Linked DNA regions of Mus musculus. The protein of the gene in region 1 interacts with the protein of each later gene in a biochemical or structural test. Links are inferred from orthologs where the notes say so. Each region holds a gene or a part of one and is shown in the gene's direction. Other genes may lie near its edges.

Region 1 (5,325 bases):
CACATCCCTGTCCTCTCTAGGCTGGCTGAGAATAGCGGCTCTGGATGAGGGGTATTGGGGCTGGTGTTTCAGCTCCTGGATTTCTGATGTGGTTGGCATGGTTGTTAATGAGGGTCAATGCACACCAGGTCTGGGCTGGGCCTCACACAGACATTCTATTTTGTCATTGTGCCAACTCTACAGATTAGATAGCTATGACCCAGAAATGACCCAGAGGTAAGGTCTGGGTGGTTCTCCCCTAACTGGAAATCCCTTCTCACTGGGCTCATGGTCCACACACTTCTAGTCTCTGTTCCAGCATTATTATCCTGTATGAGTTAACAACACAAGCCCTGCCCCAGCCCTGCTCTCCACTCATCACCCCCGGAAAGAGTCATATTTATTGGCATATGACCCCTCCCTTTTCCACTTGACTTTGAGCCACTTGTAGGTGGCTTGTCACTGCCTTGTCTCTGGGGTCTAGCGGGAGCTAGCCTGCTCAGCAACCACACATTCAGTGGGTGAAAAAAATGGATAGTCTCTAATGCCTAGGGCACTTCCCTAGTCTCAGAACATAGAAGTGACCCGATAACCCTCTCTTTCTTGGCTTCTTTGTCAGGAGTCCTAACTAGGTCCTTCTTGATGCAAAAGTGAGTAGCCGAACCTAGATCCAACTATCTGTCTGTGTGAAAAGGACAGGCAAGTATGGCTGCAAGAACCCCTGGTTTGAATAGCACTATTTGCCACTCTGGGCCTGGCGCTCATCCTCTTGGAGCCTTAGAGTTCAAGACAAGAACTTTTGCCTCTCCTCGGCAGCACTTCCTAGGTATTGGGGCCTTTGCACTTCCTGTCCACTCCATCAGGGTGTCGGGCCCCTTCTTATCAGTTAGGTTCCCTTTCAAAGGTAATTTCTTTGGAAAACCTTTGCCCCCTTCTGGCTAATGTGACTTTCCAAGCCCTGTTGGTTTTCTCTGTTTCTTCTAGTACAAACGCTCTTCTGTGTCCCGTCTATCCCACCACCTGTAAGATCTCTGAGTGTAAAGTCCCTAGCTGTTCTGCCGAGTTTTGTGTCTGTAAACTTAGGAAGGGGTCTAGCTTATCATGGGCTCCTGGTAATTTGTTGAATCAATGGTTTTTCTTTCTTCCTCCTAGAACCAGAAACACTGAGGCCCCAGGATAGGAAGGAATATGCTGCAGATTTTTGATTAGTGTCAGAACCTAGACTAGAAAGGCTAAGTGGACTAGGGTTGACTTTGGTCAGCTGACTGCAGCAGCCTGTGGGTGCCAGATCTTCCCTCTAAGGCCTCAGTTTCTCCACTGGGAATAACTGCTGAAATGAAGTAATCATGACCACCACATACTAGCCCATTTCTAGAGTTAGCACCCCTAGCCATCACCAAAAGTATTATCTTCGGTGCAGCATCCGTATCCCAGAAACACAGGTAAGTCTCCCGAAAGCCGCAGAAGAAGAAAACGACAACACCCATGGCGCCCCGCGTTGCGTCTGCGCATAGTGACCAGTCCGCGAATCCCCGCGCGCCATCTAGCGGCGGCCTGGAGAAGCGCTCCGCTCGGATCCCCGAGGGGCGGGGGACCCGCGGCGCACGCAGTCGGGATATTCGGCTGCAGCCGCGAAGCCGGGGGCCAAGAGCCAGAGCAGGAGCGGCGGCCGGATCGCAGCCCGCCGGGCCCGCCGCAACCATGGGCAACCGCGGCATGGAAGACCTCATCCCGCTGGTTAACCGGTTACAGGACGCCTTCTCCGCCATCGGCCAGAACGCGGACCTCGACCTGCCGCAGATCGCCGTGGTAGGCGGCCAGAGCGCCGGCAAGAGCTCGGTGCTGGAGAATTTCGTGGGCAGGTAGGAGCGGCGCGGACACCCGCATCACGGTGCCCCGGGTCCCCACCCCGGGATCCGACGGTCTGGGCGCTGCTCTAGCGGACCGAGCGCCCCCGCCCCCCGCTTGAGTCCTGGGGTCCGCAGCGCCCCCGCCAGCCCGCGGATATCAGTGGAGTCCCCCCACTCACGCCCCCTCGTTCACCCCATCGTCTGTAGAGCGACCTCGGCAGAGAGCTGTCCTTGATCGCCAATACCCTCACCGAGGGGGCCCACATTACTCAGCGCCTCACTGGGAGCTGAGAGCACCCAGAGGGCAATATCCCCTTCCTGGGCTCCTTGGAACCCGCTCTGACCCCATGGGAATTCCTGGTCGTGACAGGGGACAGCCCCCTCCCCCAGTCCCTAGAAAAGGACACAGCCCCATAGGCATCGGAGACCAGGCACAACCCCCCCACCCCGCACACGCACAGGCGCGCGCGCGCGCGCGCGCACACACACACACACACACACACACACACACACACACACACACACACACACACCTCTGCGGCTCCCGCCGCCATCCGTGCGCAGAGAGGCAGAGGGGGAGGCGCGGGCTGCGGTGCGAGGAAAGGAAGGGGGGGGATGGCAGCGGGAGGAGAAGCGGCCTGTGAGCCTCTACGGAGCAGCCTGCCTTCGCTGCACCCCTTGGGAAGGGGCTGCTTGTCAGCGTCCTCCTCCCCTGGCCTGGCAGAAGGGTTGTGATGGAGAGAAAAGGCGGCAGAGGGCAGAGATGACTAAGTCCAGGAGGCAGGATGGCGAGGAGGGGGGTGGTGAGCCATTGCAGAACCTAATCCTCCTCTGGCCTCTGATCCCACAAGGCTCTGGGAAGGCCAGGTGGCAGAGTGGAGGAGAGCCTTAGAGACAAAGGGTCTTGGACTTAGAGGGGGCAAGCAGGGTCGTGACCCCCCTCCGCACCACCTCCCTAGGCTCCTTTGGAGCTAGGGAAGACAGAAGTGGCATTTCTGGTTCTTAGAAAGAGCAGCTCATTCTAAGCTCAGGTGCACTCTGGGAAGGGGACTGCCAGGACCAGAGAGGATGCACCAGTGCTAACCTTGACCCCTCACCCGCTAGGTGCAAGCTCTCATCTTTCTAGAAAGTCTTGCTTTCTTGCAATGACCTTCATGGCTAAGGAAATGACAGGCGTGAGGGAGAGGGAGGCGGCGGCGGCCCCTCCTTCCAGAGAGGAACAAGCATTCTGTGGGGTGACAGCTGGGTCTAAGCCAGGTGCTGCTGGAAAACCTTGGGCAAGTCACTTGCCTTTACCAAACCTCAGTGTAGTATGGACAGACTGGAGGGTTGATGCCACCACTTACACGTCCTGGGAAGCCACTGTGAACCCACCCCGGGGTGGGGGTGGGGTGGCGGGAGGAAGGGGGCCTGAGTGAGAACCATGTAGTGGTGAGATGTAGACGTGCCACAGTGGAAGTAGCTCTGTCTGTCTTGTCAGCAGAGAGGAGCAGCTGTCTCTGGATCATGTGACCCCAGAGCTGCAGATACAGGCAAGAAACCATATAGATGAGCCCCTTCCCGGGGGTCCAGCAGTCAGGGCTGTTGGGGATGGAGGAATGTCCAGCGCCCTGAAGACAGGGCCGTGGAGGGGTGTCGTGCACTTTACAGTGTGCATACCACAGCCCCATCTCCCATGCTCTGAGCATTTGCTGTTCTAAGCCAGACTGTGTGCTCTAGTTAGGGGGTGCAAACTGGAGCCCTTCCCTGCTTTGCTGTAGCCCCTGTGATGCAAACACAGTGGTGTCCACCCTATAGACGGGCAACTGAAATTAGATGCTTTTCTCAAGGTCACATATTCCCAAAGAGTGACACCTGTCAGACTCCATCTTGATCCTGCATTGGTCATGGGGACTGATTGGAGTGTAGACATCTGATTTCCCATTTGTAGAATGGGGACCCCTGGAAGCTTACCCGGACCTCCTAAACCAGTACAAAAGCCATTTGCTAAATCCATGGAAGAGAGACGCTTTGAGAGTCTAGAGACTGGGAACCTGTCCATGACGTTTTGCCCAGTGCAGTACCCAGCCCAGACCACAGCAGGTGATAGCCACAACTGTTGACCTGTCGAGAGGCCGCTGCTCCAGCCAGGAGGGCGTGGAAGATGCCCAGATGCAGGTCTGGGACGGAGGAGGAGCAAGCGGGCAGGCTTGTTAGCCCTTAAAAGCTAGTGAAGAAGCCACAAAATGAGCAGCAGCAGTACTGAGGCTAGGGGTGGGGTCAGGCTCCAGCCAGCCCCACCCGTGACCGACCTCACAGATTCCCTACCTCTCTGCCTAGCTCTGGGTCCCCAGACTCGTGAACATGGTAACAACAGCTCTTTCTCCTGGGCCTTTCAGAGCGCCAAACCCCCACGGAGAGGAAGTGGGAAACTCCCTAGAGGAAACAAGCCAATTCAGGCCAGGCAGGCTCCCAGGCATCCAGGAGGACCTCGTGTCAGCTCTGCAATGGAGGTGACCCAGCAGCTGTCCGGGACCCTGCTAGGTCTTGTCTGAGTCTCTGCTGTTCCTTTCCCTTCCCTTTACAGAGGCCAGCTCACTCAGTCATTTAGCTGTCATTCTTGGAAGGTCCACAGCGGTCACACTAGAGAGTCTTTGGTGAAGCTGTGCATTCTAGAGAGAGAAACCGAGACACCTGTAAGCTGCACTCTGTCTCCCAGGAGTTGGGCTGCCTTTCACACGGAGGGCTCAGAAGGTCTTAGAGGAAGGTTGCACCCAGGAAAACCAAGCAGGGCCAAGCTATGTGAGAAGCTGGGAGAAAATAATCCCAGGCCAGTGAACAGCAGTTCAAAGGGCCTGGGGCAGGAAAGGGTCAGTTTGAGATACAAACAGGCACCACAAGGTTTAGGCAGGAACGGTGGGACAGGTGTAGACAGGACCTCCATCTGTGAGCCCTCAGGCCATGGCGAGGGATTTGGTTTGTTTTCAAGATCCTTGGAGTGGTAGGGTGACCTGAGATGCTTCTGACAAATGGGAGACAGGAAGGAGGCAAGAGCCACGTCTAAGGACACCCCTCCAGGGATGCCGGAGAATGTGGGCTTAGATCTGTGTGGGGCCAGGTCCCACTGGCTGATAGACAGGAGAGGGAGTGGGAGGGGCTGAGCAGGAATCCAGGGTGACTTCAGGGTCAGGGGTGATGGCATCATGCGATCAGGAGACCCTGAGGATCTGCCCTTAGGGGCCAGTGGGGTGGTGTGCATAAGTTAAAGGCAGTGGGGATTCAGTCTTGAGCATATTGAGCCAACGATGCCCTAGACAGCTCCTGGTGGCAGTGGTGAGCTGGGGGAAGGGCCACGGGAGATACAAATTTGGAAGCTGCTGGTGTAGACATGGGATTCAGTCCCGAGAGAAGGGATGAGATCATACAGTGTAGTGCAGCTGGAGAAGTGTCTGTGGACCCCAAGATTCTCCAGCATTTCCTGAGCAGATGCCTTGTATCCTCAGTGCTATCTCTCTGC
Region 2 (5,262 bases), on another chromosome or scaffold:
ACTAACACTGCTGAGTTTGTGCAATGGTCTCTTGCATCATCTGGATTCGGAGAGCGGCGAATAGCCACAGGTGGCTACTCCGCACGTGAGTGGCGTGCCCTTAGGATGAGGGTACGAGGGTATGCTGCGAGGGTAAAACGCACAACAGATACACTGTCTCATTTAAATATCTGATTTCTTTAAAGGTTGAAATAATATTTGGATAAGCTGGTTTAAGAGAAACGTAAAATTAATTTCACGTGGTCTCTTCACTGTCCAAATGTGGCTCCCAGGAAATCTAAAAGCGTCTGGGTGCCTAGAACATCTGTCCTGGACAGGCAATGCAAAACTCAGCTACTGTGGACTGGCTATACTTGGCAGTTTGTTTAAAATGCCATATATAGATATATATATATAATTTTTAAAAAGCAAATGCAGACCACCAGGCCCAAATCCAGAATCAGTATCTGCACCTCCTCACGACCCTGGGATAATTCTTTAGTATGGCTCAAGTATGGCCGGCTCAATGAAGCAGGCAATTCCTGACCCAAGGCCCCATTACTGCGAACACCCACCCTTGTTTGCTTTAGGAAACCGCTTACTGGAAATGCAAAGAGAAGGATAAGAAGGGTGACAAGGGAAGTAGTAATAGAGACAGCATCAGAAACAGTGATAGGGAGAAGCTGGGGGCGGGGAGGACTCAACCCAGGAGAAAGGCAGTTCTAGACCTTTGCCTCCATAAACGCGGAGGAAGAAGCAAAGATCAGTCTACAATCAAAACCTAGCCAGGGTCAGGAACTGTCCGTCAAATCTAGTATTACCCGCCCCTCGGCGGCCTCGGCCAAGCTAGGCCTGAGCCAGGGCATCTCTGAGGTCGGCGTGTGATGCGAAGTACCAGTCTCCCCAGGGTTAGACAGCTCCTTCAGGCGTTTCTCCATTTTTCGCCCAAAGTCCCATTTCAGAGACACACATCGTTCTTCCCTGGCTCACCTGGCTCGGAGCAACCTCAACCGCCAGCGCCTTCGCCGCCGCCACCTTCCCAGTCCTTCTGCAGAGAGCCCGCCTTCTTGGGTCCAAACAGTACTGCCATTGGTCAGACTGCCCGTCACTACCGCAGGATGACCGATCTGGGGGAGGCTGTGACGAACGCCATGGCAACTGAACCCGGAACTACATCTCCCAGCATGCTGCTTCCCGTAGAGAGACGAGTCGCCGCCCCAGGGACCACCAATAAATGGGAGAAGTTGGGCGTTGCCAAGATGGGTTCCGTTTTATGCAAATTAGAGTAAAAGGCCACACCCTTCCTCATTCCAACCGTAACCCCTACCATCTTTCTTCAGTCTTTGTGTCTTTCGCCTTTCGTGCCCACGCTCTTTCTGCAAAACCTTCAATTTAGTTGAATGTATCCTAGCTACTGTCGCGCATAGAAAAGAGCAAAGCGCCAAATCGTGAAACAAAATCTCCGCACGCATAGAGCAGAAACCTCTAGTTACGCCTTCAAGGGACGAGACAAGGATGGGAGGGGAAAAAAGTGTGTGTGTGTGGGGGGGTGCTATCCAAACTACTTCATTGGTGTATCTCGTTGTCACTCTGTACACCTCTATTTCCTTTGGCTCCTTTCTTCTTTTTTGCCCACCTAGTGGGCGGAGTCATAGGAGAGAGCGAAGGCGTGGTCTCCGCCGTCCGATTGGCAGGCGGTTATCCCCGCCCATCTATGGGTGGGGCGGAGGGCAGGCTGTGGGCGGAGGGGCGGCGGCGGAGGGAGATGAGGAGTTAGGCGGGAGTGAGGGAGCGAAGGAGCGAAGGAGGGCGAGAGGAGTGGAGCGGCGCGGGGAGGGCGCGCAGCTTGGTTGCTCCGTAGTACGGCGGCTCGCAAGGGAGCATCCCGAGCGGGCTCCGGGACGGCCGGGAGGCAGGCAGGCGGGCGGGCGGGGATGGTGTGCGCGGCTGCGGACTCGGCGTTCCTCCGCGCGGCGTGCGGGCTGCACTGATTTGTGTGAGGGGCGGCCGCGCGCACCCGCCCGGAGATGAGGTGAGGAGCTGACGCGGGCGGCCTGGCGCGCGGGCGGGGGTCGGCGATGGCCGCCCCGGGGTCGGGTCCAGCGGCCGGGCGCGCGTCCCTGCGGCCGCCGTCGCCGCTCCGCCCGGTCTTTCTCATCCTCCCCGGGGGCAGCGGGGCGGGCGGGCCGCGGCGGTGGCGGCCGCGGGACGGGTTCGGGCTGAATGGGCGTCCGCAGCCACGGCCGGCGCTCCCGTGGGGGGCATCGCGGCGGGCGGTCCTTCCACCGCTGACCCCTCTGCCCTCGGCCGCCGGAGGGTGGCGGGCCGACCCGGCCTCCCGGGGATCCCGAGCTCGCGGGAGCCGCATCGCGCCGCCCGCGGGTGCCCCCGGCCTCGAGTCCCCGGCTCATCCTTTTTCTCTAGCGCCTGCTTGGAATACCCTGTCAAGTGAAGGGCGGTCAATGCCGTTTGGGCCGAAGTGGTGCGGCCGGGGCTGGCTCTGATGGCATTTAACAGAAAGCGGCTACCCTTGCAGCGGGCGTGCGTCCCCTTCTCGGCCGCTTCGCCCTCCTTGCGCACGCACTGACTCGGGTGTCTGCTGTGGACCCAGTGCATAATTGCGGTCCCTTCTTGGGGGTGGGGGGGGGCACCAGAAAATGCAATCCGGATTCCCAGAAAGAAAAAAAAGAAAAGAAAGAAAGAAAAGCAAGGAGGAGCTGGCTGGATCTCCCTTCACTTCTGTTTGCCTTTGCTTTGGAAGACAACTTCGCTGATCCTCTTGCCTATGAGCAGTCTTCTATTGTTGTGATTCAGACTACAGGCTTTGCTTTTGAAGGAATAGATTAGTGGCTTCTTGCTGCAGCTTGAGGGTGTAGAGGTATTTGGTAGCATCTTGAATGTGAAAGTTTGCGACTTTGCCCTCATCACTGCTTTTCGGAAAACAGAAGCAACCTGGAAATGTAAATGCATGCAGACTCTGGCCAGATGCGGTTCTTTTGTGTTTATCGGTTGGTATCTTTCTCTTGGTACTTCGTGGTCGGAAACACGGAGGATAAAAAAGAAAAAAAGAGTCTGATAAATAGCATAGATAGTGAAAGCATGGGAACAAATGCCCGTGGAAAATATCAGTTCTATTTTCAGGGAGGCCGGTTTACTAATCCCGCTGAATTGATGAAGAGAAAGGCTTGCTCATGGATTATGTAGTGGACAGGATGTGAGGGCAGGAGCTGGGGCCAGGAGCCCGCAGGCCAGCTGCTTGGCAGGGTGTTTCTCTAAATGCTCCAAACTAGAGGAATGTATTTATTTGTTGGGATACTTTTATTTTTAGAAGATGTTAACGGTGAAGAGTGCAGACGTTTCAGCAACCATTATGGTTACCATTTTTGTTACTTTTTTTTTTTTACACTAGTTTGCTTGAAATATTTTGTATGTGTGTGTGAGTTCCCTTATAACTTAAGAAGTTTTTAAAAAGCAACGTCTTTCTGTAGGAGATATGTAAAGAACTCAGGAAATTATAAAGGATTTAAATTAAGAAGTGAAGGCCACTGATTTGGTGACAGGGCATAGATATTTCTATACACTTTTAAGTGGCTGCAGTAAGGCACCTCTCAGAGAGTATGTGTTTAAAAAAAAAGTGTCTGTCATTGAAATTGCTGAGGATTGTGGTACCGCCACAAAACTATTATTATTCTGCCTGAGTAAGAGAGGAAATGAACACATTTTAATGTACTTTGGAACCCTGTGGATTGTTCAGATGCTGAGCATTGTGAAATAGGGCATAAAATGAGTAGCGGCAAGTTAGTTCCCTGAAATGTTTGTTCCTCAGCATTTTCTTTCTTTGAATCTCTCTCTTTCTCTCTCTCTCTTTCTTTCTTTCTTTTTAATTTTTAAAAAAAGATTTATTTATTTATATGAGTACACTGTAGCTGTTCTGATGGCTGTGAGCCACCGTGTGGTTGCTGGGATTTGAACTCAGGACCTTTGGAAGAGCAGTCAGTGCTCTAACTGCTAAGCCATCTCTCCAGCCCACATCCATCCTTCCTTCCTTCCTTTTTTCCTTTCTTTCTTTCTTTCTTTTGCTGTTGACTAGCAGTTTCTTTTTCCTCTGGGCATTCTTTATCTTTTCCCCAAATAACCTAGATTGAGATACACCCTTAAAACACTTGCAAGAGCTTAAAAGGGAGGCCCTGGTAAATTCCTCTGCCTGTGCTTTTTCTCTTTTGGTGATTGAGCCAAGCCTTGGAGCATGCTAGAGTGTAGCCTAGCACCTAGCTACATCTGCAGCCTCACGTTGTCTTTGTGTGTGGTACTGCTGGCATTAGATCCTGGGGCCTTGTGCTACAGTCTCTAGACTCTCATCCTTTTAATTTGCTCAACCTGTGACTTAAAGAAAATTAATTAATGGAGGTTGGGTTTATGTCAGACTTCTCTTTTTAGTGACTCCCTCCTGAATGGCTCCACTTACTGGCTCCATCTAAGTCTGGCATTCAGATATCTTTACATCAGCTTACCAGGTTTCTGTCTCTCCAGCTCAGTCAGACAATGGGAAGTAGTCAGTATTGTCAATACAGTTTCCAGGAATTTCTCCAAGCCAGAGAGAGAACTTGGAGAACCTTGGCATTGTGCTTTTCTCTCTTACCGAGTGTCTCCTAAGACCGTCTCTGAAGTGGATAGCAAGCTTTTCAAGTAGCAGAGGTTTTACATACTGTGATGAGGGTTTCAGAAGAGCAGAATTGGTGTGGCCTGCCTAGAAACTAAGCCAGTGCCTTTCAGACCGTTGCAGGGTGGATGGGTGAGCCACACTGCCTCCATCCCACTGTTTTGAGTCTTTACCTGCCAAGTTGGTCACATCACAGAGTAGTCACAGCGCTGTGTCCTAGCCAGTTCCCCTAAGCTTGACCAGTGTTGAATGTACAGCCCTTCTGGGTGATGTGCTAGAAAGATGTCTAGTAGATGTTGCCCCTGAGGGCTCAAAATTTAATGTAGAGTCTAATCACGTATCATTTTATAAATGATGATAATCCCAACATAAAGAATCATTTTTAGAAAATATGGACAATACATATGCTTTCCAATTTGACTCTTATGATATACGACCTTTACTCCCTTTTACAGAGTCTACCACAGGGTCCTATAAATTACAGATTTTATGTGGGTGAGCGCTACATGCAATGCCAAGCTCTGAAGAATATGGGACTTCATCACATATTGTTAATGACTTAGATGTAGTTACCAAACCTCTCAGGACCTCAGTTTTGCTAAAAATGGGAAGAATGGCAGTGG
Region 3 (5,327 bases), on another chromosome or scaffold:
GCAGTAAAGATGGCACATACATATTTTTTGATCTACTGCAGTACAACCCTTTGAGTCATTTGGAACCTTCCAGTAATCTCTGGGTTCATGAAACCACCCCAACTTTTCACCAATTTCAACCCTAGCCATTTTCCTGTGTCTGCTTTAGGATTTATTTACTCATTACCTCCATTCATTATTAATCTCCAGGTCATGCTTGCCTGGTCTGTAACTGGTTATGTAGTCCAGACTGGCCGCAAACTCGGAGACCCATCTGCTCTGCTTCTCAGGGGCTTGGGTTAAAGGTGTGTGCATTGCCACACCTGGCATATTCTATATAGTTTTTGAAATTTGTAACAGTTGATAGAAGGGTTAAGGTACATATGTCAACCTGGGGAGACTTCATTGAAGAGATATTGTCTTAGTTAGGGTTTTACTAATGTGAACAGACATCATGACCAAGGCAACTCTTATAAGAACAACGTTTAGGGGGCTGGAGAGATGGCTCAGCGGGTAAGAGCACTGATTGCTCTTCCAAAGGTCATGAGTTCAAATCCCAGCAACCACATGGTAGCTCACAACCATCCTTAATAAGATCTGATGCCCTCTTCTGGTGTGTCTGAAGACAGCTACAGTGTACTTAGATATAATAATAAAATAAATCTAAAAAAAAAAAAACAATGTTTAATTGGGACTGGCTTACAGGTTCAGAGATTCAGTTCATTATCATCCAGGCGGGAACATAGCAATATCCAGGCAGACATGGTGAAGGTGGAGCTGAGAGTTCTACATCTTCATCTGAGGGCTGCTAGCAGAATACTGGCTTCCAGGCAGCTAGGATGAGGGTCTTAAAGCTCACACCCACAGTGACACACCTACTCCAGCAGGGGCACAACTTCTAATAGTGCCACTCCCTGGTCTGAGCATATACAAGCCATCACAGATATCATTCAATTAGAGTCCTCTTTCTGTCTTAATGATGAGAGGAAGCTCACTGCAGGGCTAATGCGCAAAAAAGCAATGATGTCCTATAGCTGGTACATGACAGGAATGAACCAATGGAACTCGAAATAGGAGATAGCTACAGTCTGAGCGAACTATTTTGAAAATATGTTTCTAGTGGGGCTCATTGGTGCACACCTGTGATTTAGCACTTGGGACGTGGAGGAGCTTGGACAGGAGTTCAAGGTCATCCTTGGTTATACAGTAAGTTTGAGGCTTAGCCTGGGTTATGCAATATCTGCTCTGAAATAAAGTTATGAAGAAGGAAATAAAGGACTCTCTTTTCTAGTTGTATCCTCAGCGATTTATTAGAAGGGAGACACTGAAGGAAGGACCCCAGAGAGAAGGCTGGTGGCGTGTTAGCATTTGGGCCTCTGCCGGGATTAAAGGCGTACATGCATCACCACTGGCATACCTCATATTAATTTTTAAGTTATGGGTATATATGTGACCCGGTGTACTTGAGAGCAGTTGAAGGAGGCCAGGAAAGGGCTGTGACCCGGAGCTGGAGTTACAGACAGCTAGCTATGAGCAAGCAGCCTGATGTGGATGCGAGGAACTGAACTCCCGATGTCAGCCAGGGCAGCAAGCACTTTTACCTGGAGAACCAACCGTTCCTCTAGCCCCTAAGATATTCCATTTTACCTCGCTTTGTCTTTATTACACTCTCGCTGGCAAATTCCGCTCCGCTTTCTCCACGCACAAATAAAATATTAATTAATTAAAACTGACTTTTGGCTTTATATCTACTCCTGGACTCTAGAGGGAGCTGCATCATGCGTACACGCGCACGTACACAGATTTCTGGCCTCTCTAGGCGCCCCCTCATCTCGTTGGTGTGGGAGGGTTTCCGCCGTTCCTCCCCCGGCAATGCTCTTTCTGTCCTCCAGGGGGCGCGCACGCGCAGAGAGGCGGAGCGCGCGCAGATGCCGTTGTAGGGTGGGGTGAGGCGATATGGGGGCGTCACCGGAAGTGTGCGGTTGCCATGTAATATCCCGGCCGCGCGTGCGCGCTAGCCGGCCGAGGTGGCTTCGGGGCGGGGGCGCAGAGCTGGCAAGCTGATTTGGCGGTGGCGGCGCCGACCTGCGCGCGGAGGAAAGAAGTCGGTTCGGCGGCGCCGGCGGAAACCGGAGTTCGAGCGGGAGGCCTGACGGCGGCAGGCGGCATGTCGGTGGCGGGGCTGAAGAAGCAGTTCTACAAGGCGAGCCAGGTGAGGCGAGGCCAGGCGATCTGGTCTCGGGCCTGCCTTTGGGGACCGCAGACGAGCCGAGCTGGCTTCCCTTGGGCTAGCGGGGAAGGGGAGACCGGGTCCCCGTGCTTTGAAGAGGGACACCGGGTGTGCGCGTCTAGGCGGCTTTCAGAAAGCTCTGGAGGGCCGGCGAAAGGGCTTCATTGAGAGGGGCTTGCCGCCAGGCTTTACAACGTAAGTTCGATTCCTGGGATCGCAGCATGGAAGGCAAGCCCCCCCCCCCCCAAAGTCTCCAGGCTATGCTTCCGAGACTCTCACCACATAGCCTCAGGCCACAGAAAATGTTTGTCTAGGTTGATATCCAAAAAAACCAAGTCCACACAGGGCTTAAAAAATAATCAGTGTCCCATTCTTCTTTTCCCTCTCCGGTGTCTGTAAGACGGATTGAAAAAAAAAAAACCTAAAAAACCAAAAACAAACATTCTCGCTCACTGGGTGTTATACATCATTAATCCCTGCACACTTGAGGCAGTCAGGTAAGCAGATCTCTGAGTTTGAGGCCAGCCAGGGTTACGTAACATAAGGAGACCCTGTCTCAAAAATGAAAGAAAAATCTCTTGGTAGACACTGTGGCAAGTTGAAAAGAGACAGTGAAAAGTAATTTTCCAGGCTTCTGCAGTTTACAAAATGTGTCAGGTTTGTGTCCCTATTTCTAAAACATATGTATGCTTCTTTGAAAGATACGTTTTTGTTGGCTGTACCATACTATAGATTCCTATAGGTACTTGGTGGTTTGGGTTTAGTGTTTAATCGATCCGATCATGACTCTGAACTGAAATTCTCCTTTCTGGTTGTGTTGACATTCAGGAGTTCTGTAGGGTGGGCATCCTGGCCTCCGTTGTATAAACATTGAGAACCCTACCCCAGGCAGGCAGGCGCTCCTTTCAGACATCCTATAGTGTAATGTCCCTCTGGAACTTTTGGGGGGTTTTTTGAGGCCAAGTTTTGCTCGTAGTCCAGGCTGGCCCAGAATTTTCCATCTTCCTGCCTCTCAGGCGCTGGGATGACAGGATACCTTTGTGTGTTGAAGGTTTTATATTTGCCTTGAACTCCTGGGCTCAAGTGAGCCTGTTCCCTCAGCTCTGTCAGGTTTCTGCTTGAGAAAACCCTTGTTGTCTCATCTCTGTCTCAGTCAGGCCAGAGTGGCCTCATAGTCATTATCCTCCCGCCTCTGCCTCCCGGTGCTGAGTTACAGATGTTTGTCACCAAACCTCAGTGGCCAGAAGTTCGTGACTGAGTTTTCTCCTGTCTGTTTTGAGTTTCTTTTCTTCTGCCTTTTCCTCCAGGTTGCTAGATCGATTGTGCTCGCGAGTGCGCTCTCTCTTTCTCTCTCGTTTGATGGATGTTTGCTGGGGTTGGAGCCCAGGACCTCAACCACACTGGCAACAGCTCTACCCTGAGCCATGACCTCAGCTTGACATGCATTTTACATGGGACACTGCTGGAAAGCCTGGCAGGCCTGTAACCCCAGGCCCTCTGGCCGCTGAGGCAGGAGGATCAAAAGCCAAGTGAGTTCCAAGTGAAGCCTGTGGAGCCAGCTTGGCTGCTATGTCTGATACCCTAGAGGTCACCAGGGTTGATGCTAGTGTGGCTGGAGGAGGCTGTCTTCTGCCTGTGCATCCAATCCAGTGCTTGTCTCACTCAGCTCAGAGGCCAGACCCCACCAGTGTTGGAGCAGCTGGCTCCCCTTCTCGAACTCCTGAATAGCTTTCGGAATGCAGAGGATAGGATAGGACCCGGGCTCTGGGCTTCAAAGTAAGAACTTTCATATCTCAAAATGACAACAGATCTGGGTGTGTAGCTAGTTGGTAGAGTACTTGCCTACCACACAGGAAGCCCTGGTTTTGTTACAAGTTGAGGGCCAGCCTGGTATACAGTGTTAGTTCCAAGGGTATGTAGTGAAACCCCATTCAAACAAGTAGTTCAGAGCCTGCAACCCATAGTCATGCAAGCCCTGGATCTTTGCAGGGAGGTCTGTGAACACGTAGTTTGTTGCCCGGTTTCTGTTCCAAGAAGCCCCAGATGTGCTAATCCTGTGGCTGTGCAGTACAGCCCGAGAATCCTGGGTGTGGAGCTGGCTCGAGTAGATTCCACAGAGAGATGAGCAACAGTGTAAGGAATTGCTTGGGCCATGCCTGTGAGAAAGGTTCTCCCCACAGTCTGGAGAGGCCCAGCCAGAGGGAGCAGCCAGCTGGTGCTGTCACCCAAGGGCTGAAAAGAAGGAAGGGCCTAGCAGTTGCCTAAGGATAAAGACATCTGAGCTCTATCTGTGGACCTCATAGGGAGGCTAGCAATGGAGTTGATGTGGTAGGACCTATGCAGTAGGCAAGAGACCTCCAGTGCCTGAACTCCTTAGGCTGTGATGCCAGCCTGGGTTCTGTGGCTGTCCTTCTGTTTGAATGCCTGTGGCCCCACATCCCTCAGATGGAGTTCCCGGAGGTCCCTCCCCTGCTGATTCCCAGCAGGTCCTGTCAGGGACTCATAGGCAGCCACTAGACTCTTTCCCACTTGGAGGGCCACCCATCCCACCTGCCTACAAACCTGCAAAGCTCAGCTCAGGTGAGAATCAATTTACTGTTTAGACATTCCAAGGCCCTGTCCCAGAGAACTCTGAGCGAGCTCTCAAGAGTTGCACACGGATGGCCTATGGCCCAGCCTCTTGCAGAAGTTTTCCAGGTTTTCAACATTCTACTCTTTCACCTGGGTCCCTCCCTCCTGGGTTTCTTTTCTCCAAGTAACACCTCTCTGGTGGATTCCTGAGTCCCTAGATTATCTTTCTCATAAGAAAGAGAAACCACAAGCCAGTATGCCAGGGCATACCTGTAATTCCTGTGTACTAGAAAGTCAGAAGGGTTGTGAGTTCTAGGCCAGCTTGGGCTACATAGTGAAAGCTTACCTGTAAAGAAAAAAAAAGAGAGAGAAAAAAGAGAAACAGGCAGGAGAGGCTGGGGCTCAGTAGGTAGAACAGTCACCGAGCCTGTAAAGGAGCCCTGGGCTCCGTCCTCAGCTCCACACACACCAGGTCAGGAGTTCAGCTACATAGTGTGTTTGAGGTCAGCATGAGCCCCTGACTCAGAAAGGCAAAAGAGGTTCAGGG
Region 4 (4,799 bases), on another chromosome or scaffold:
GTCTTCAGTAATGTGTTACTAAAATGACTTCTTCCACTAAAGTGGGTGGGAGTAACTCTTTAGGCACCTCTTGAAAACAAACAAACAAACAAACAAAAACAAAGAACAAAATGAGAAGAGGAATCGAGAGGTAATCTTTGACAAACAAACTCAATCTTCAGCCGAGATGTTTAAGAGATGTAGTTAGATATTTTAATAAATATAGCATTTTATTCTTAGTTTAGAGATGACTTTGAGAATAGTTTATTTTACACATGTTGTAAAGGAAACAAGACCCAGGCCCACGAGTTCACCACCGTTTCTTAGTTTAATCCACATACTCCTAGAGTTGAGATATGAAACAGGAATAAAACTGGAAGATGAGGATATGGTCAGGTATTTCTAGGATGCAGTGTACAAGCCCCAGAGTCTCTGCCCTGTTTCAGGCAGGAGGATGTGGGGACAGCACCCAAACCATGCTGCTGCCCCGTGAAGACCTGTATTTGGCCTTGCAGTATAATTCTACTTGGAGTTGAAGTTTAGAGTTGATGTATATTCAGTTGCCCACATATTGTACCCAAGGGCTGTAGGCCCAGTGAAGGTGCAGCTTTAGGAGCCGAGTAGATGTCTGGGCTGATTGGAGCTTGGTTCTCCAGCCAGCCCAGTTCCCATTATGAATAGTGATGCTATCTCCTAAAGGCTGTTCTCCCTTTGTCTCCAGCTTCCAGGGCTAAGCTCAGTATGATCAACACCATGTCGAAAATCCGCGGCCAAGAGAAGGGGCCAGGCTACCCTCAGGCGGAAGCACTGCTGGCAGAGGCCATGCTCAAGTTCGGCAGGGAGCTGGGTGATGATTGCAACTTTGGTAAGTAGCCTTGGCCATACTGCAGGTCTCCAAGGAGGTTGTGGTGCTGATTAAAAAACAAAACAAAACAACAAAGCAAAACCCACTAACAACAGCAAACTCGAGATCATCAGTCAGCCTGCTTATATTTTAATTCTCACTTGTAGATGTTATATATGGGGGATGAAATGTGATTTTAGGACTGCCAGTGTTTAAAGTGATTTGTCTACGCAGCTTTTGTCCTTTTCCTCTAATGGGACCCCAGCCTTGACAACAGTTCCGGCAGACATGCCCAGATGCCTTGGCACTTTCCTGGGTGTATCTGGCAGGAGCTGCGTATTAAAGCAGATCGAGCAGTCACAATCAGCGTGAATTCCTACACTGGCACCTGGGCTCTCTAGGATTAATCCACTGCTCATTTGTTTGGGATCCCTGATTCTGTTGCTCCAGGCAAAATAGAATTTATTCTATCTCCTCTCTTGCCTGGCTCTCAGGACCCTAAGCACCTTCTGCCTTCAAGCACCTTCTGCCTTCACTCCTATTGACATGGGACCTCTCTAGTCCCTTTTTCCTCAGTTTTTAGTATCTGCTTCTGCTAAAAGCATTGAGCTGCAACTGATCTCATATTAATGAGAACTAGTGCCTATCACAGAGAACAGAGAGCCTTGCAAAATAGTATTCAGAGTAAAATATCCAGTTCCTGGTAAGGAGGGATACTCCTCCTTTTAAAGGGTCCATGGAGCCTGGTTTTCAGAATGACTGTGGTAAATAGAAAAACTTCTTTTGTCTTGAGAACACTATGGGCTTTCTTAGACTCTGTTGCTGTTATAGGACAGAGGCAATCCCTACACAGCCATCTTGAAGGCTGTTGTTGCAAAGAGTGCTTGTCTTTATTCTTCAGGGTGTGAGATCTTCATTTTCCCCTCTCAGGTCCTGCTCTCGGTGAGGTGGGAGAAGCCATGAGGGAGCTCTCGGAGGTCAAGGACTCATTGGACATGGAAGTGAAGCAGAATTTCATCGACCCCCTTCAGAATCTTCATGACAAGGATCTGAGGGAGATTCAGGTCTGTGCGATCCTTCTTCTCACACACACGCAGATTCTCATTTCCCAGACAGTCTCCCTGGGATACACAGAAGAGGGCACGTGAATTTCCTACAGCTCCATAAGATGAAAGGCACTGGAGACCAAGGGCCATCAATCCAGGATCACAGCTGCAGCCCTGCAGCTCCTGAGCAGAGCATTGGTTCCTCTGTCTTCAACTTCCTTGTTAAACAATCTTCCCACCATTTTTTTTTTCTTAAAAAAAAGCCCCTTAATTTTTTTTTAAATGTAGCCCTGGTTGTCCTAGAATTTGCTCTATAGATCATGCTGGCCTCACACTCACAGAAATCCACCTGCCTCTGCCTCAGTAGTGCTGGGATTAAGGGCTTGCATCACTGCCACCCAGCCAAAGGGATGTCCTTTATCCGGGACTTTAAACTCTGTTAATGATGGATGAGGCTGATGGGGTCCCCAAATATTAGTTGTACTTCTATCAGTTTAAATAAGTAGCTACTATATTACTCTTCGATTTTTATATTTTCCTTATTGTTGTTGGTGTTTAGAAGGAATAACCACGCTTTGTGAAACATACAGAAAAGCTGAGATATCTCTGATAAATTAAGCTGGTGTTGCCTCTGAGTGGCCGTGAGTTCAAATGCTTCTACAGCACCCCCTTGCCAAAAGAAAGCACACTTAGTTGGGATTAGAGTGTTAGTTGGGGGTGGGAGATGCGGTGAGAGGAGCAGGGTGTAGAACAAAACCCATCCTTTATCTTGCCAGTTCTCTACCACCCCTGACTCTGTTTCTATCTTCTCTTCTTCCTCCCTCGTCCATACACACTAAGGAACAGAGGAAAAAATCACTTTTTTCTCCCACCAGTTAGTCGTAGAATGCTACAGCTATTAAGAAAGGAAACTACTGTTGATCTTCAGGAAAACAAAACAGAACAAAACTACTTATCCTCATCTTTAGAGAGGTTATGAACCTTACCATATGGAGATACTACAGTGAGGGATTAAAGCTACAGGTGTGTGTGTGTGTGTGTGTGTGTGTGTGTGTGTGTGTTAGGGGAGGTAGTGCTGATAGAAGATCCTCCAAGGTCCCTTGCAGTTTGGGTTTGTGACTGAGTTGTGTCACCTGTCCTTGGAGAGGTAAACTCATCTGTCCCCTAAAAGCTACCTCTGTCAAATGGGGCAGGTGTTGTGATGCAGATCACTAGGCTCAGCCTGGCTTTTCTGACTTAGGTGATCAGATATTCTTACCTAACATACTAGGTGACTCTGGTAAACTAGATTAATAAAAAAGGAATTTCATTTTTTTCTACCTTTACCTCAGAAAAGAGGGCTTTCCCATTTCTCACGAGGAAGGTGACTGGCAGGCTCTTGTGTGTAGCATTTTCTTGAGGTGGAAGGTATGGGTGATGCCTATCCACATGCCCTTCTTGTCATTTGGAGAAGAGATATAGTTCAACTTGGCTTTGGCCTGGGAATGCTTAGCAAAAGGACATTGGTCTTTCAGTGACTTGTTTCTCATTCTGAATTATTTGTCAAGGTGTCCCTCTACAGTTAGCCACTAGAAGCATTTGCGTTGCTGGTACATGTGTCTTCATTTCTCTGGTGACATGCAATTTCAAACTCAGCCAGTCACATTTTGGAAGCTACTAGGAATGTAAGAAAAATGAGGTACAAGAAGGTCTTTTCCATAATATGTCCTTTGGAAGCATGTTCCTGCCCTTGGCTCTTTCAGCATCATCTGAAAAAGCTGGAAGGCCGACGCTTAGACTTTGATTATAAGAAGAAGCGACAAGGCAAGATTCCAGATGAAGAACTCCGCCAAGCTCTGGAGAAATTCGATGAGTCTAAAGAAATCGCCGAGTCGAGCATGTTCAACCTCTTGGAGATGGATGTAAGCTGCTTTTCTCTGGGTTTTCATTTAATTTTACCATCGAGGCATAGCACTGATGTGTTGAAAGACATATCATGTGACATGATACCATCTGGTTCCTCTGTGTGATAAGAACACACAGGGGCCACTTATCTTAGTGATTTATCATACAGACAACATGGAAATGGAATTCATTTCTTTATCCTTATAGATTGATTGAACCAGAACTATTTTTAATGGATTTTAAAGTATTGCCAGTAAGTGCAGAGATAATGACTCTGATAACCCACATATAAATCCAACATATTACAAACTACTGTTTTAATATAGAGCATATGACCTGCATTATGAATAAATTACATTCAGAATTGAGTTTCTGAAGTTATAAAGTTGTCAATACATAGAAGTGATCTTGAAATTTTCATAGAAAAATACATAAATTAGAATTGATGATTCATTCAGGGCATGGCTGAGATGGTTTAGAAGTTGCCCCTGCATCACCAGAATTCTAAATTATCACTTATGGCTTCGGACATTAACTTCTGTTGAGTTCATTCAGCTGTAAAGCCACATGAACAGTGCTTTCTTCCTTATTTCACACATGTATAGATTTGAATAACTGGATTTCTTGTCCTGGACCATCTCCACCATCTAACCCCAGAGTTCATCTGGGACGTTTGTAGGGCTTTGTGTACTCATCACTGGAGGAATCTCCAGAGAAACAAAACCATAGGGTTATAGGTACAGGTGGTATGGATGCAGGGTGCATAGCTGGAGATCAAGGGAGAAAGGGGAAGTTTCTCATGAGGAGGCTGATTGAGGCTCAGAAGCTCCACATATACCTCCAGATAGGTGGGGAGCCAGTGAGGCTGGAAACATAGTTCAGACTGATTCTAAAGGCCTGAGAATGAACGTTGGCATTGGCAAATTGATTCGGTTACCAGAGGCTAGGAAACCAGAAATGGCAGAGAAACACAAGTCTCGAGGATGGAGAGCTGGCAGCTCTGGTGTTCAAATGCAAGAGGAGGTAAATGTTCAGCCCCAGGAGAG

Evidence for each region.
Region 2: the proteins of Dnm1 (region 1) and Itsn1 form a complex in vitro, tested with the Homo sapiens proteins (2 studies listed by BioGRID and IntAct, with this or other methods). The link is inferred for Mus musculus from reciprocal best matches to the Homo sapiens genes DNM1 and ITSN1.
Region 3: the proteins of Dnm1 (region 1) and Sh3gl1 form a complex in vitro, tested with the Homo sapiens proteins (2 studies listed by BioGRID and IntAct, with this or other methods). The link is inferred for Mus musculus from reciprocal best matches to the Homo sapiens genes DNM1 and SH3GL1.
Region 4: the proteins of Dnm1 (region 1) and Sh3gl2 form a complex in vitro, tested with the Homo sapiens proteins (2 studies listed by BioGRID and IntAct, with this or other methods). The link is inferred for Mus musculus from reciprocal best matches to the Homo sapiens genes DNM1 and SH3GL2.

Annotation. Positions count from the first base shown.
Region 1 is NC_000068.7:32,349,565-32,354,889, reverse strand, and holds the start of Dnm1 (dynamin-1), read left to right. Parts: upstream 1-1,560; 5' UTR 1,561-1,680; coding exon 1,681-1,841; intron 1,842-5,181; exon of another isoform or gene 5,182-5,196; coding exon of another isoform or gene 5,197-5,325. UniProt on the Homo sapiens protein: Catalyzes the hydrolysis of GTP and utilizes this energy to mediate vesicle scission and participates in many forms of endocytosis, such as clathrin-mediated endocytosis or synaptic vesicle endocytosis as well as rapid endocytosis (RE).
Region 2 is NC_000082.6:91,727,589-91,732,850, forward strand, and holds the start of Itsn1 (intersectin-1), read left to right. Parts: upstream 1-1,782; 5' UTR 1,783-2,011; intron 2,012-2,019; exon of another isoform or gene 2,020-2,947; coding exon of another isoform or gene 2,948-2,987; intron 2,988-5,262. UniProt on the Homo sapiens protein: Adapter protein that provides a link between the endocytic membrane traffic and the actin assembly machinery. Acts as a guanine nucleotide exchange factor (GEF) for CDC42, and thereby stimulates actin nucleation mediated by WASL and the ARP2/3 complex.
Region 3 is NC_000083.6:56,033,279-56,038,605, reverse strand, and holds the start of Sh3gl1 (endophilin-A2), read left to right. Parts: upstream 1-1,968; 5' UTR 1,969-2,146; coding exon 2,147-2,191; intron 2,192-3,516; exon of another isoform or gene 3,517-3,738; intron 3,739-5,327. UniProt on the Homo sapiens protein: Implicated in endocytosis. May recruit other proteins to membranes with high curvature.
Region 4 is NC_000070.6:85,375,641-85,380,439, forward strand, and holds part of Sh3gl2 (endophilin-A1), read left to right. Parts: intron 1-700; coding exon 701-844; intron 845-1,753; coding exon 1,754-1,887; intron 1,888-3,611; coding exon 3,612-3,770; intron 3,771-4,799. UniProt on the Homo sapiens protein: Implicated in synaptic vesicle endocytosis. May recruit other proteins to membranes with high curvature. Required for BDNF-dependent dendrite outgrowth.